2 linked regions of the Pelodiscus sinensis genome follow. The protein of the gene in region 2 purifies or fractionates together with the protein of the main gene of each other region. This does not show direct contact. Links are inferred from orthologs where the notes say so. Each region holds a gene or a part of one and is shown on either strand. Other genes may lie near its edges.

The links. The genes of interacting proteins can lie anywhere in the genome.
Region 1: the proteins of VDAC1 (region 2) and RAB2A purify together in Homo sapiens (affinity purification with mass spectrometry; 3 studies listed by BioGRID and IntAct, with this or other methods). This does not show direct contact. The link is inferred for Pelodiscus sinensis from reciprocal best matches to the Homo sapiens genes VDAC1 and RAB2A.

Annotation. Positions count from the first base shown.
Region 1 is NC_134712.1:61,919,065-61,926,664, forward strand, and holds the start of RAB2A (ras-related protein Rab-2A), read right to left. Parts: upstream 3,020-7,600; 5' UTR 2,715-3,019; coding exon 2,669-2,714; intron 1-2,668.
Region 2 is NC_134727.1:27,818,400-27,825,940, reverse strand, and holds the start of VDAC1 (non-selective voltage-gated ion channel VDAC1), read left to right. Parts: upstream 1-4,527; 5' UTR 4,528-4,654; exon of another isoform or gene 4,655-4,726; intron 4,727-5,513; exon of another isoform or gene 5,514-5,614; intron 5,615-7,541. UniProt on the Homo sapiens protein: Non-selective voltage-gated ion channel that mediates the transport of anions and cations through the mitochondrion outer membrane and plasma membrane.

The DNA of each region.
Region 1 (7,600 bases), on a different chromosome or scaffold from region 2:
TGCCCGGCCAGCTGGCCACGGCGCTCAGCCAGGGTGCACCAAGCTCCACGTGGGCAGGTGCAGAGGAGAAGCCGCCGATCAGCTGGAGCATGGGGCAGCCTCTTTCAGCTGAAAGCCAGTCAGCTGGCTGGGGTGTTTCAGCCCTCCCGACCTCCCAGCTCCCATCATTCCTCGCAGCTACTCACTTGTGTTGTTGCTCAGTGAGTAGCTGCTCCTCAAATGAGGAAATCTAATCTAAATGGACTGCACAGGTGCGCAGTTCAGAGAGGGCTCAAGAGCTACTCTTAGAGCCCCTGAGATCTACCAGTAGATCGATCTACTGGTTGGTGACCACGGACTTAGGGTATGTCTACACTACAGAGAACGATTGAAACTGCCACTGTTGCTCTTCTATGGTTCAAATTAGCACGTCTAGTTAAGACAGCTAACTAACTGAGAAGGGCACTCCAGTCGACGCCAGTAGTTCTGCTTCCACAAAGAGTGTTCTCCCTTCGACTTCCTGCAGTGCGGAAAGCGCCAAAAGTTGAGTTAAGGTACTTCAACTTCCGTGATGCAATTAATGTAGTTGAAGTTGAGTATCTTAATTTGACCTTGTCCCATAGTGTAGACATAACCTTAGTGAATAAAATCACTCAGAGCCATGATTCATATCAGAGACATGCAGTTTTGGTATACATGCATCCTATTTGTGTTACTACTTGCATAACCAGCTCTCTCTCATGAATGAGCAATGGAGATCAACTTAATTTTAATCTTTTGATTGAGTCCAATAATGTCTCCCTTTTTCTTTTTACAACACATTTAAAAGTAACTGTCAAATCACCACATAACCAATGTGACTCTGAAGACATGAAAAATCATTGAAATAATCTCTGGGTCAGTATGCAAACACTAATGCAGGTAAGCTGGTTTCTAGATGCAACACTAGAATTTTTCAAGTGTTCACAAGAGATCTAAACACCACAAACTCACAAAAGATTTTCCACCTTCCTATTTTAGCCATTTATAGAAATACGGCTCTCATACCTTTTCAAGGGGAACTCTTTATGTTAAAATCAAATTAATTTTAGCCATGATTTTGTCTCCTTTATAAGTTTTCATCACAAATTATGAATTTGAAAAGTTATAATAGTTTGTTTTAAATTAATAAATTGCTTCCTTCACAGGTATTTTCCTCCATCTTAGACTTCTGTCAGATTGTGATACTATCAGCCTTAAAAATTAAAACAGACTTAGGGCATGTGGAACCAATACAAATGCGGTAATAATAGCCACAGTTTCTGATCTCTAAAGACACAGAATAGCACCATCAACTGCCTTGAAGAAAAAACAAGGAGTCTGGTGACACTTAAAAGACTAACAATTTTATTATGGTCTATGTTTTTGTGAGTTAGAACTCACTTCATCAGATGCATGAAGTGAAACAAAGTGAGTTCTAACTCACGAAAGCATAGGCCATAATAAAATTGGTAGTCTAAGGAGCCACCAGACTCCTTGTTTTGCTGAAACAGACTAACGCAGCTACCTCTGAAACACATCTTGCAGAGTATATTTCAAGATCTTAGGTCAAGCTTTACACAGAATAGGAGCCATATACCCAAGAAACCACTTATTTCAGAGAAATTAACATATTTACACCATGAACAGCAACTCCAGCAGTAGATCAGGTTCATTTATACAAACAATAACTGAACTGAATATAGAGTGATGCAGCTATGACGCCACATTAGTGTAAAAAGCCTTTTTATATTTAGTAAAGTACTTAGATGTTAGCTAGATGTCAGATAAATACATGATATATCTGTTCTTAAAAGTTAGCCATGATTATGTTACAATTGGTTTCACAGTAATCAAATATGATACCTCACCAAGACAAATGATTGTGTGGCATTTTGATTAGCTACACGCCCTGCCCACACTGGGGAGGAAAGCAAGCCAGCCACCATATCCCCAGAGCACATCATTTGGGAAGCTTAATTTTAACATCTGTGGCTAGCTATTTGCATAGACAGTGGCTTCTCCAAGCTAGAGATTTCCCACAGCACTGCCAGCGACTATGGGACCAAGAGAAAGGGCCCAAGTGAGACCAGGCAGAAGGCAACATCTGAAGTCTCTAAATCAGGAGACGGGGTGACAGAAGCAGAGCTGGACTAGGCATTACTGGTGCCTGGCAAATCCCAGGTCTGGCTGAATGGCGGGTTTTCATGGCGGTCTGGTGCTGAGGTTACACTGCGTGTGGGGGGCAATTGCAGTTTCAGCCCCGAAGCGCCAGGGAGGCTCCTTGGGCGAGGAGGCCTCGGCAAGGCCTGGGCAGCGGAACAGCATCGCTGACCCCGTGGATGGCAGCGTCTCTGTCGCACTTTGCGGCATGACTCGCTGCCCGCCCCCAGGGCTGTCCCCAGGCAGCGGCCGCTTCCCCACCTCGAAGGGCCGGGCCCGGAGCAAGCCCCAGCGCCTGGCACCGCGGGCTCTTGCGGGACTGAGGAGCACAGGCCAAAGCCACGGGCGGGGCCCGCTGCCGAGCGCAGGGGCGGGGGAAGCCTCCTCCCACCCGGAGTCACCACGTCGGCGACGCCACCACTGCGGAAATGGGGCAGCCGGGGTCGGGCTTCGCTCTCCCGCCTCCCCATTTCCGCAGTAAGGGTCTCCGCGCCCCTGCCCCGCGTACCTGTGTCCCCAATGATGATATATTTGAAGAGATACGCGTAGGCCATGGCCGCCCAATCCCCGCCCTCGCCGCCGCCTCTCGCTCGGTCTCTCGCTCGCTCGCTCCTCAGTGACGCGCGCTCTCCCCCCGCCCTTGCTGTCAGGGCTCGCGCTGCGGACAGTTCGAAACCGTTAACGGCCACCTAATTGAGCCCTTTTCCTCCGGGCTCCCTGCCCTTTCCCTCCTCTCGGGCGGCTCAGCGTGCGGAGGCGGCAGCCCGTGAGAGCAGGAACAATAACAGGCAGCGGAGGCAGCAGCCCGAACCCTTCAGCAACGTCACGCAAGGCAACCTCCCTCTCCGCCCCGCCCCCCGCTGACCCGGAAGTGCAGCCGGTGCTCGAGCAGGTCCCGTATGACGGGCGGCTCCGAGCCTTACCCCGCCCTCGAGGAGTCCTGCGCCCACTGGTCGGGGCCCGGAGGGGAAGGCTCGTGGGGCGGCAGAGGGACGCGACAGCCCCGTGACCGAGGCAGGTGCCTTGCCTGGCTGCCCCTGCAGCCCCCTCACCTGCCCGGCGCTGCCGCTCGCTGCGCGTGGGACAACCCTGGCAGCCCCCTGCCGCGAGGGGGCCGCGGATCCCAGAGCCCCGCCCTCCCCGGAGTGTCACTGGTCGGCCTGGCGGCGAAGGTCCGACTGCGGTGCCGCCCAGGGGCTGGAGGCCGCCGTGCTAGGCGGTGGCCAGACGCAGATGGCTCTTGACCCAGAGAGGCCTAGTCTGCACCTGAGACTGAAGCCACCCAAGCTCCAGCGCTCAGGGCGGGGCAGATTCCGTGCCTAGTGCCATGATGTGGGGCGCTCGAACCGCAGACGCCGCTGCGTTACTGGACGAATTCTCCCCCTCAAGGGGATGGATTTTCTTGCAGTGATGGAAACGCTGAAGCAATCCCCTACAGCCACATAGTTGCAGCTATGCTACTATAGCACACATGGGTTATGTCTGCACTGGCGGGTTCTTGCACAAGAACCTGTAGAGCACCCACCCTCTCTTGTGCAAGAAGATTTACAGTACGGTGTGGTAAGAGAGGGCTTCTTGCACAAGAGCTACACTCTTTTTTTACAAGTGTAAGCCTTCTTGCGTAAGAAGGCAGTGTGGATGCGCGGCAAGTGTTTCTTATGCAAGAAAGCCCTATGGCTAAAATGGCCATCAGAGCTTTCTTGTGCAAGAGAGCGTCCACCCTGCTATGGATGCTCTTGTGCAAAAGCACATCTTGCACATGGCAATGTGGACATGTGCTTGCACAAGAGTTCTTGCACAAGAACCTGCCAGTGTAGACATAGCCATGTAGTGTGGGGCATATGCTAAATCTGTGATCTACTGCCCATCAGAGTTCTGTGGGTGGCCTGCTGCCCATGGGGTTACCAGTTTTTGGTTACCAGTTTTTGTGTTTCCCCATCTACATAAGGTTTTATTTCCTACCAGTATCACTAAAGTGACGTGAACATAAAGTAAGGACATATGAAGTGAGGTGCATGCTGATTGCACGCAACATTGAATGTGAGAGCCTGTGCTCCCTCTGCTCCCATCCAATCAAAGAGCTGCTACAGTTCAATTGGAACACCCTGCAACTTCTAAGTAAGAGCAATTATAAAAGTGACCCTATCCCAGAAGACTGTTTTGGTTACAACAATTTTGCAGTCCACTAGGATAAAACAGCCATTCACGTAGACCACTCACTAGCTTAGGTTGCCCATCACTGCTCTAAGTGGCCATCTTTTTAAATTTTGTTACCAGGAAGTAAAGAGCAGGATCCCTTTCCCTAATCTTGTAGCTGTATTTTTCTCCTGTGGCTCTTATGTAGAGGAGGGTGTCACACTTTAAGTTGCTTACAACCAGGAACACCTTGTCAGCCGACGGTCAGGGCAGTGAGTCCCTTATGACCGGCTGAAGTTCTTTTAGATTGTGCTTGGTTCTGTTACAGCAACTGAAGGAGTTAGGTTAAAGCTTAAACAGTTACTATTTTATTGTTACAGGGTAAACTTAGTTGTTAAATGCTACTACTGTGTTACAGATAACACAGCCACTACAAAGGACAGGACAGAAATTACACTAATAAGTCACTTACAGGTACCATGAAACCCTTTTGGTTCTCTGAGCTCTTATTAAATGCATGCAAAATAGACACATAGCAGGTATATATTCTCACCCCTGCGTTTCAGACTTGGCGTGGCCAGCGTCTTTCTCTCAATCCCTCGGGAAGAAGTAGGGCGAGGTTGGGCGTCCCACAGACCTTGGGAGACAATCAATACCTGCCAGCAGGTATAGATGATTGGAGCTCAAATGGGGTGGGCAGCGGAACCTCTTTTTATACCCCTTGGGTCATGTAGGCTTCTTCCTGGTCTCAAGTGGCCAATTAGGAAAAATGGCTTTGAACACCAAGTTTCCCACTAAGGGTACAAAGCATAATTTACACCTGGGAAAATGCAGACAATGGGCACCTCTGGTATGTGATGGGCGAAGATTCCTCTCCTGGGACAGTGCAGGCATGTCAATTACTGGTACTAGCCATCAGGGTGATAGGAGGCCCCGGGTCGTCAGCTAGCCCATTTACTGTCTGGTTTCTGTTTATGGTAGAGTCAGGGACAGGCAGCACACCTGCGTTCCCAGGGCATCAAAGGCTGACTGCCTTTCTCTTGCTCTCTGGGGGGGGGAGGGACGACAAGATGGGGTTCGTGGAAAAACAAGATGGGGTTTGTGTCTGGCTACACACCTACATCAGGGCAGTATGACAAAAACATGGCAGACACCCCAAACTGGTAGGCTATGTCTACACTGGTGGCTTCGTGCGCAAGAACATCTTGCACAAGGGTTCTTTTGCACAAGAGCTCCCATGGCAGTGTGGACGCTCTCTTGCGCAAGAAAGCTCTGATGGCCATTTTAGCCATAGGGCTTTCTTGTGCAAGAAATCCCTGCTGAGTGTACACACTGCCCTCTTGTGCAAGAGCACCTGCTCAAGAGGGCTTACATCTGATAAAAAAGAGTGTAACTCTTGCGCAAGGAGCCCTCTCTCACCATGCCGAACTGTAAATTTCCTTGTGCAAGAGCGGGCGGGTGACCCCCGCACTTACGACCTAATTGGTTCCTGGAGAACCATTGTAAGTTGAACACTTAATGTCCATAGGGGCAATGTTATGAATGGAGGTTCCATTCTTGGCCTGCTTTGCCTCCTGGGAGTTGTAGTCTCCTGGAGCCAGCAGCACAAATGGCACCCTGAGCTGGCTGGGGACTGTGCCGGGTGGTAGGTGGCCCCGCGACGTGGTGCGAATGGCACCCAGAGCTGGCCAGGGGCTGTGCCAAGCAGTAGGCGGCCCCATGGCTCCTGAAGCAGGGTGGCTGTAAATGCGGGGGGTTGCAGGACGTGTGGTCATAAGTCGGGGATTGCCTGCATACAAATGAGTTACCATTTAAATCAATGGTCGTGTCGCCTATCAGGGTAATCTGATTGTCAGGGTTGAGTCATTTTCCTGACATTGACTGTCAGCAGGCACTGCCTCTCACAACTCTCACTGGCCATGGTTCTATGTTCCCAGTCAATGGGAGCTATGGGAAGTGGTGGCCAACATGTCCCTGCAGACCCTTCACCTGCAGGTATTGTTTCCCACAGTTCCCATTGTTCAGGAACAGAGAACCCCGGTCATTATGAGCTGTGGTGCTTGCAGATGATCAATGTCAGCAAAATGTCTCACGGCCAGCAGATTACCCTGGGGGGCCGCCTGCGGCCTTCAGACTGCAGATTGCCCACCACTGATCTAAATCCTAAAAATGACAAGAGTTGTAGTGGTCTGTCTATTCAAAGTGTCTTTCAGAACAAATCAAGGAGGCAGCCTCTGGGAATCTCTGGCTTCATTTTACAGTCTCTGGTCCATCAGAGTTCAGACAATCAAAAAGATGCAGTTTCTTCTCAGGAATTGTTATTCCCTTCACCCAGAGTTCAAGATGTTGGATCAAATTTATGGGCATGTCTCTTTTTCATGGAGTGGAATCAACAAAAACTTTCATCCTCTGATGTTTCACAGTGGTTTGTCTGATGTTTATGGGCATTCTTTAGTTAAGCAAGAGATAACACCTCTTGTGGCAAACTAGTATCTCACATTTTGTAAGTTTTCTCTTCTGGCTATGGAGGTTTACAGTTTCAAAACAAACACTTAACTTACCTTATAACACGGAATATAGATATTACAAGTGTATTGTACAAGCTTTTCATAGAGTCTAAACACTAAGTACAGTTTTATAAGACCAATACCTATTTTGAGCAAAACTAATATGGTCACCTGGTCTAGTTTGCAGCTGAGAGTCAATTCTTAATACATGCAGCTTGGGCAGGAGCTGGCTTCTGGCCTGTCAGCATCATAGAAGGATAAAATATCCCCTACAATTATCTCATAAGATGGATCCCTGTAAAGTGGCAGCAATGGATAACATAGTGTGGATAGCAACATCCATTCCTTCAAGGATTATGGATCCATTGTACAGGTTAAATGTCTCTAGTCCAGAACCTTCACGACCTGACTGGTTCTGAACCAGAGAATTTTCTGGACCATGGGAGGTCAATATTGTCTAGCAGCACTACCAATGCTTCCACTGTTCACTGGGCTGTTAGAGGACATTAAGGCTTTGTCTACACTGTGAGTCGTTGTGGCAGAAAATATGCTAATGAGGGACTCATTAGCATAAATCACAATATCATTAGCATATTTTCTTCCATTTCTTTTTGCAGAAGGGGTTTTTGCACAAAAAGAAGCAGTGTAGCTGCTTCCATTTTGCGCAAAACCCCTATTTTGTACAAGATCCGGGAGAGGCATTAGAGTCTTGCGCAAAACAGGGTTTTTTCACAAAACAGAAGTGGCGGCACTGTTTCTTTTTGCCCCAAAAGAAATGGCAGAAAATATTCTAATGA
Region 2 (7,541 bases):
GCAAGAACTATGATGCTCCCACTCAGGAATAAGCCCTCTTGTGCAACTGTTCTTGCGCAAGAAGCCAGTGTAGACAAGCAACATGAATTTCTTGCGCAAGAAAGCCCGATGGCTAAAATGGCCATCAGAGCTTTCTTGCGCAAGAGAGCATCTACATTGGCACAGATGCTTTTGTGCAAAAGTACATCTCTTGCGCAAAGGCACATGCCAGTGTAGACGCTCTCTTGCGTAAATACTTTAACGCAAGAACTCTTGCGTTAAAGAGTATGGCTGTGTCTACATTGGCACCCTTTTCCGGAAAAGGAATGCTAATGAGACACTCCAGAATTGCAAATGCCACGGGGGATTTAAATATCCCCCGCGGCATTTGCATGAACATGGCTGCCGCTTTTTTCCAGCTCGGGGCTTTGCCAGAGAAAAGCGCCAGTCTAGACGGGATCTTTCGGAAAATAAAGCCTTTTCCGGAAGATCCCTTATTCCTCTTAAAATCAGGAATAAGGGATCTTCCGGAAAAGGCTTTATTTTCTGAAAGATCCCGTCTAGACTGGTGCTTTTCTCCGGAAAAGCCCCGAGCCGGAAAAAAGCAGCAGCCATGTTCATGCAAATGCCGTGGGGGATATTTAAATCCCCCGCGGCATTTGCAATTCCGAAGTGTCTCATTAGCATCCCTTTTCCGGAAAAGGGTGCCAATGTAGACACAGCCTATTTGCGCAAGATTATGCCAATGTAAATGTAGTCAAGAAGTTACCCTGTTGACCTGAGCACTTTGCTAATATTTGGGGTCCTGCAGGTTGTTTCCAGTAGGAGGAGAAATAGAGCGAGGTATTTCTTTAACAGTGCTATTGATTTACAAAGAACGTGCACAAAGTCCTGTTTCTCTGAACACAATAAGATCAAATGATGAGAGGCAATGTCCTTGTTCACATGTCCAAGTATGCCTTTCCAGTCATCCCAAGGTAGACTACTTCTTTTTAGAGTAACTCATAGTTCTTTGGGTTCAATTTCAAATTGGCAGTCTGAATCTTACCACAAACCATTTATACGAGTTCCTATTCAGAGGGCTTAGATCCCACCAGGATATAATCTAGATATACACCGGCTAAAGATGGGGCAGAAAACTGTTGCAAATGTCCTGTTATTGGCTGGCCCAATTCCTCATCCAGATGACTGACTTCCACTGTGGTCTGTGATCCTTTGATTTCTTTCTCAAAGTGATTTTTAGCTCCGTAAATTCCTCCTGCACCTCATTTCTTCTAGCAACATTTTAGGTAAGAGGGGATCCAAAATTAAATCACCTATTTGGTTTCCTGAGAAGACAGGGACTCGGGAATTTGCACCCATCCAAAAATGGGGGAAATTGTGTCTGAAACTTAGACTTCTATAATTAGAGCAAGAACTCTGAATAGCGGGACAGTGGATGAGGCAATAATTGGTCTGGATTTCATTATGACTAATAATTGTGTAATAAATGCCAGGAAAAGCAACCTATTAATTCACTCTGTGGAAATTCCCTTTAAAGATGTGGTGCAAGAAAGACATATAATTTTAGGCATTTGGTCTGCAGTGAGCAAGTTGTCTTGCCTCCAGCAGCATGCTGGGATAGCTTTTAAGCAAAAGGAGGATGGAGAGTGACTGAGACATGCTTTAAGATCTAGATTTTCAGAGGGATTGTAGCTGTTAAGATTCTTGAGGGTGGGACTGGCAATGGACTCCTGTTCGTTTACTAAATGTTTCTGAAAACAGCAAATATTAGAAAATGGAACCACAACTGCAAAACAAAAATCAGTGGATCTAGTAAATACTGGTATAGAAGAAATCTACAAGGAAGAAAGGGGTGAAAGTGAGTCCCCAGAGTTTGCAGGCACAGAGCAGCAGAAAAAGCAGCAGGAAACAGCAAGCAAAGCACAGATAGTGTGGCCCTAAGAGAAAGCCAAGAGGAAGTGTTTTGGGCAGAGTTCCGGCTATAAAAGGAGACTTGAGATTGTGAGCAAGGAACCTGACTTCTGTTGTTTGCTCCTACCAGGTTCAAGGAAATGGGATTTTGTGTACATTCGTTGTAAATTAACAAGACTGTATCAAAGAAATAACCTGACTGTATCACCAGTTTCTCCTCCTAATGCAAGGTCCCAAATATTTGCAGATGGCTCAGGCCAGAAATATTAACAGTACCAAAATCAACACCCCTTTCTCAGGGGACTATTATTGTTTCAAGGAATAATGTTGCTAAGCTATCCTGCACTGATTGGAATTGGACAACCAGTGCATTGGCTTTACATCTTGTCCCGGGGTGCTGGAGCAGGTTTTATAATGGGGATTCTCAGAGCCACTGAACCAAATTGTAAACCCAGTGTAGAATGCAAACCACCTCAAGCCAAAGGGTGCAGTAGCACTCCTGGCATCCCTAGTTCCAACACTTATGTCTTGCCTTGGTGATGCTGGTCTTTGATTACTGCAACCTCAGCATAATGGGTCTCCCTGACGTACACCTTGCCAGAGTTCATACAACTTGCAGCTTTTAACTTTATCTTCCATGTCTGAGCCAGCACAATCTTACTGTTGAGTGTAGTACTGACCACCACACTACATACACTTAAGTAAGTGAAAAGCTCTATTCCTGTAACTCCACCGACATTAGGACTACTGCTGGGAATGAAGATACATATATTTGTGTTTGCTGGATAAGGGCCTTAGATTGTAAAGTCCTTGGGACAGGAAGCATATTTCCTCTACACTGCATACAGTGCTATAGTCAATAAGGGTATGTCTAGACTACATGGCTACATCAACAGAGCCATGTAGATGAGTTTACTAGACATAAGAAAATGAAGCGGCGATTTAAATAATCGCAGCTTCATTTACATGAAAATGGCCGCCACGCTGTGTCGATCAACTGTTTGGCGGCATAGTGGGGCAGTCTGAACGCGCTGCAGTCGACAAAGGAAGCCTTTGTTGACCGCTCCGGTATGCCTCATGAAATGAGGTATACCGGAGCGGTTGACAAAGGCTTCCCTTGTCGACTGTGGCGTGTCCAGACTGCCCCGCTGTGCCGCCAAAAAGCGCAGCGGCCATTTTCATGTAAATTAAGTGGTGATTATTTAAATCGCTGCTTTATTTTCCTATGTCTAGTAAACTCATCTACATGGCTCCGTCGATGCAGCCATGTAGTCTAGACATACCCTAAGAGAATATGTTTCACTTTCTGGTTCTCTTACCCACAGCACTAGGGTACCCGAGTGTTCCCTGTAAGCTGACAGCTTGGGCAGCCACCCAGGAGAGATACAGGTGCCTCCCAATGGATTAGCAGAGCATCCGCAGCTGGCAGCATGCATTTCTATTGGTAGTACACATCTGCACATGCCTTGGTTTGCATAACAAAATTTATTCTGCACCTGGATGGAAAACATTAGAGGGAACATTGGATACCACAGCTGGGAAGCAGAAAGGGCAAGGGAATATTTCTTCAGTTAAAAATAGAAGTGAGAAATACACGCTCTGTTTCCACTAGAACCATGTCCAACATGCTAGCCACTAGCCACTATTTGGCCAGTTGAGTGTAGCTACTTCACTATATACTTCACTATAGCAGAACTGGTTGGACACCACAGAACTAGAACTATAAAGGAGTTCCAGACATGGGTTTTATTAGATTTATAGTTGACCTGAAATGTTTTCCTAATGCACCGGTCTGAAACCTATGGCTCTAGAGCCAAATATGGCTCAGTACGGAACCAAATATGGCTCTTTTGCAAATCCCAAATACACACAACTTTTTAAATGTAAATGAAACATTAATTCAAAATTTAAAAAAGTGTAATTACTCATGTCAAGAATTTGTTTTGTCTATTTCACCTTTAACTGTTCATGTTAATAACCATCCATCCTCTCCACTCCTTGTAAACGTCAAAAGAAATGTGCAAAAATATGCAGCAGCAGAAGTCCCATGTAAGAAAGTCCTTGAATACAATGTTTCCTTTATGCCATTATTAGTCATCATGTCAATTATTAATAAAATTAAGTTGTATATTTTCAGTCATTCAAATGGGCCTTTTTAGAGGGCTCTTTGTTGAGCACTTATTCTGAATTTTAATGTAGTTTGGCTCTTCGGTTTGAAAAGGTTGCAGACTCCTGCTCTAACGTGACAAAAGCAGGGGGGCGCTGAACAATTTGTATAGTGTGTGTGTGTGGGGGGGGGGGGGAGGCTAAAAACCACTGAACCAAATATAAACTCCTGTAGCAGCTGGAAACCCGTTGGAGCCAGAGGTGCGGGTTGCAGCACCCCGGCGTGCCCTAGACTCGGCATCCCAGAAGTTGAAGGTGGACGAGGCTTCTGGGTATCATGCTCCCCACCCGCTGCCAGGGCAGGGCTGAGCCCAGCGCGGCTCTGCCCAGCACCGGGTTAAACCCCTGGGCAGCTGCTGGAGATCTGACGAACCCCCTTTCCTTGCCAAGCCCTGCAAGAGCTCCCCACCCAGCTGCGGGGCGAGGCAGCCCCAGCCGCTCCGGAGGGGGCGGGAGTCCCGTCTCCCGTCTGTCAGGGAGTGTCTGGGCTGCTATCGCGGTCTCTCCCTAGGCCGGGCTCCTAGGTCCGCCCCGCTCCCTCCCACCCAGCTGTCACTCAGCCCGGCTACAGCCGCCGCAGAGCCCGGCGAGCAAGGTAAGCGCGTGGGCCGGCAGCGGCGCCGCTCCGCAGCCTCCTCCCTGTCTCCGAGCAGGCCGCTCTGCAGAGGTAACCGGGCGGCGGCCGGGGAGAGAGGGGGCGGCCCGCAGGAGGGATGGGGCCGGGCGGTGCCTTTTGCAAAGGCCCGGAGCTCTGTGCTGCGGCCAGGCCCTGGCAGCTGCCTCCCTTCCCCCGCCCTGGAGCCTGAGCCGGGCGCCTGGATGCAAAGGGCTGGGCTGAGCCGGTCTTCCTCCAGTCACCTTCGGGGTGGTGCAGCCATGCGGAGAGGGCGTCGGATGTTCTCGGCAGCGTGGTCCCTATTTCAGGCAGCGCCCCCGGCTTATGCCCGCCGCCAGCTGGCTCAGAGAGGGAGGGGTTTGCAGGATGGCATCTCCCGCTTCCTTCTCCACCCCGTCATCCCCCCAGAGCCAGTCTGTAGGTGACCTTCTCTCTGGGGAAGGCGTGTAAGATTTACCCTACCGCATTCTCATACAGGCCCCGACTAGAACATGCGAGTCTGCTGTCCTCCCCCCGGCGAATCCCTAGGACGGGTTACATCGCAGTGCAGGGCTCTACTAGCTGATGCAATATGTAGATTATTCTCATAGCCAGGAGAGGGATGTAAATTATTGTGCCTACAATTTGTAACTTCTCCACCAACCAGATTTTACTATTGTGCATTATCTGGACTGCATTCATCCCTGTTCTTGGTTGGATTTTGGGTGCTCATACTTCCAGGGCCTCCTCCTCCCCTTGCATTCTGAATGCCCTTAATGCCTGTTTCATACCTTTTTTTTTTCTTTTTTTTTTTTTGAGGCCTGACAGTAATAAAACATATTTGCTGTTTGTCCATCAGGCTGTTAAAACTGCAGGATCCTGAAATGTGAACTGCTTCAATTGGTCTCAGGAATGATAGGAGGAAATTCCATAGCAGCTAAGCTTTGCATGTTTTAAAATGTACGTGGAGGCAAAATAAGAATATTTTTGCTAACAATTTACTATATAAACTTTTTCTGAAATAGTGTAGATTATAATCTTTCATTTCAGATGAGTTTTGATCCTTTGAAGCATGACTTGCTATGTGACTGATATAAATGTGAGCAATAACAGGTAACAGAATTTTGGTTATATGAGGATACTTCCATGTAGTGGACAAAATTCTGCCATTAACTCTCCCTACAATCCCATTGTCTTTAATGGAGTGGTAGTACTAGCTGCTAATCAGTCTGAGAATTGTCTTTAAGGTAATTATCCTTTAACCCTTGACGTGTACATGTTTCTGAAAGCATGCTTCCTGAGATATGTGCAGCTTTTTATAATTTTTCATTTTCATATAAAGCAAAGGTCACTGGCTATATGTCTGCTTATATTGTTATATGATAGCATGACTCATCACAGAATCTTTGGCCAGTAATTTACCTTATTTTAACTGGCTCATTCCAGCCTGTTATTTTCCGTATTCTTGTGAAAAGTGGGAATGAATTGTAGGGTTTAGTGGAGTTCCAGAAGTGAGAGAAATTCAGCATGAGATATTCAATAAAACACACACACCCAACTCCCAAAATACATGTACTTTTTAAAAAAGAAGTTATTTATATGTTAACTGAATGTTAAGACTGGGTAAAGGACCAGTTTAAGAATGCTAGGGACTGAATTCATTTAACCTATGATCAGGCTCAGCCTTGTGCAGCAGCCATGAAAGTTTTTCCACACTGTCTTGTCACGTGTGATCTGGAAGAACAATTTTTGTTGGTGTAAAGTAGCTCTGTCTCCATGTATTTTCTGTCACTGGCCATCAGTTAAAGTAAAATTGGAGTGGAAGGTATCCATGCTGTTGAGTAGAGTTATTTCTAAGGATAGTGATGGAAATGTAGCCGTGTTAGTCTGGTGTAGCTGAAACAAAAAACAGGACTATGTAGCACTTTAAAGACTAACAAGATGGTTTATTAGGTGATGAGCTTTCGTGGGCCAGACCCACTTCCTCAGATCAAATAGTGGAAGAAAATTGTCACAACCATATATACCAAAGGATACAATTCTAAGGAGCAGTGATAATGATTCTGTGTTGCATACCAGATTGCTTTGTGAGGGTCAGAAATGAAGATTTGTTCATTCCCTGGTAGGAATTGTCAGAATCTCTTTGAAGAAGGATGTTCGCAGTGTGAAAACTCTTTAAAGTACAAGACCTGCTCCATTTTTACATAACAAGTCATTTGTTTGGCCCGTCATTTTCTGTATTCCTCCTGTTTCTCCCCCCTCCCCCCCCCCCATCCTGCTATAGCATTTGTCTGGTAGTGCAAGAAAGTCTGAATTGGGTATGGAAACCAAAAAGATATCCCCGATTCAGTCTTGTGGCTTACCTGCAGGACGGTGTCAAACAGAATCTAAGTAGTGAGATTGCAAAGCCCAGACATACATATTTTGAGAAAATGACAGATGAAAAGCATAGAAGGAGAAAATGGATTTAACCTATACCCCCGCCCCTAACCGCTGCAGGTACAAGCTGGCTGCTTCAGGGAGCCATTTTCCTGTAGTGTGATAGGAACTAGCAAACAAAAATACACTGGGGAACCAATTGTTACCCTCAATATTAACTAGTCAGACCCATTAATTTGAGGGCGTGCTGATGTAATAATAGAAGTATCATATGGTTTGCTCTTCAGTGCTTTGCCCAGGCATACTGTGCCCTCTGAACTGGTTACCTTGTCCTGCATTGGTCATATAACTGGCAACTCAGATATCACTGGCCAAATAAATCACTGTCTTAATTCTGTTCCCATCCTTGCTTCCAATGGTCACATTATTGCTCACTGCTTCCTATACATGTATTTGCACAATCAATTAGAGATTAATTTGTGATTTTATTTTTAAATAATAGGATCTT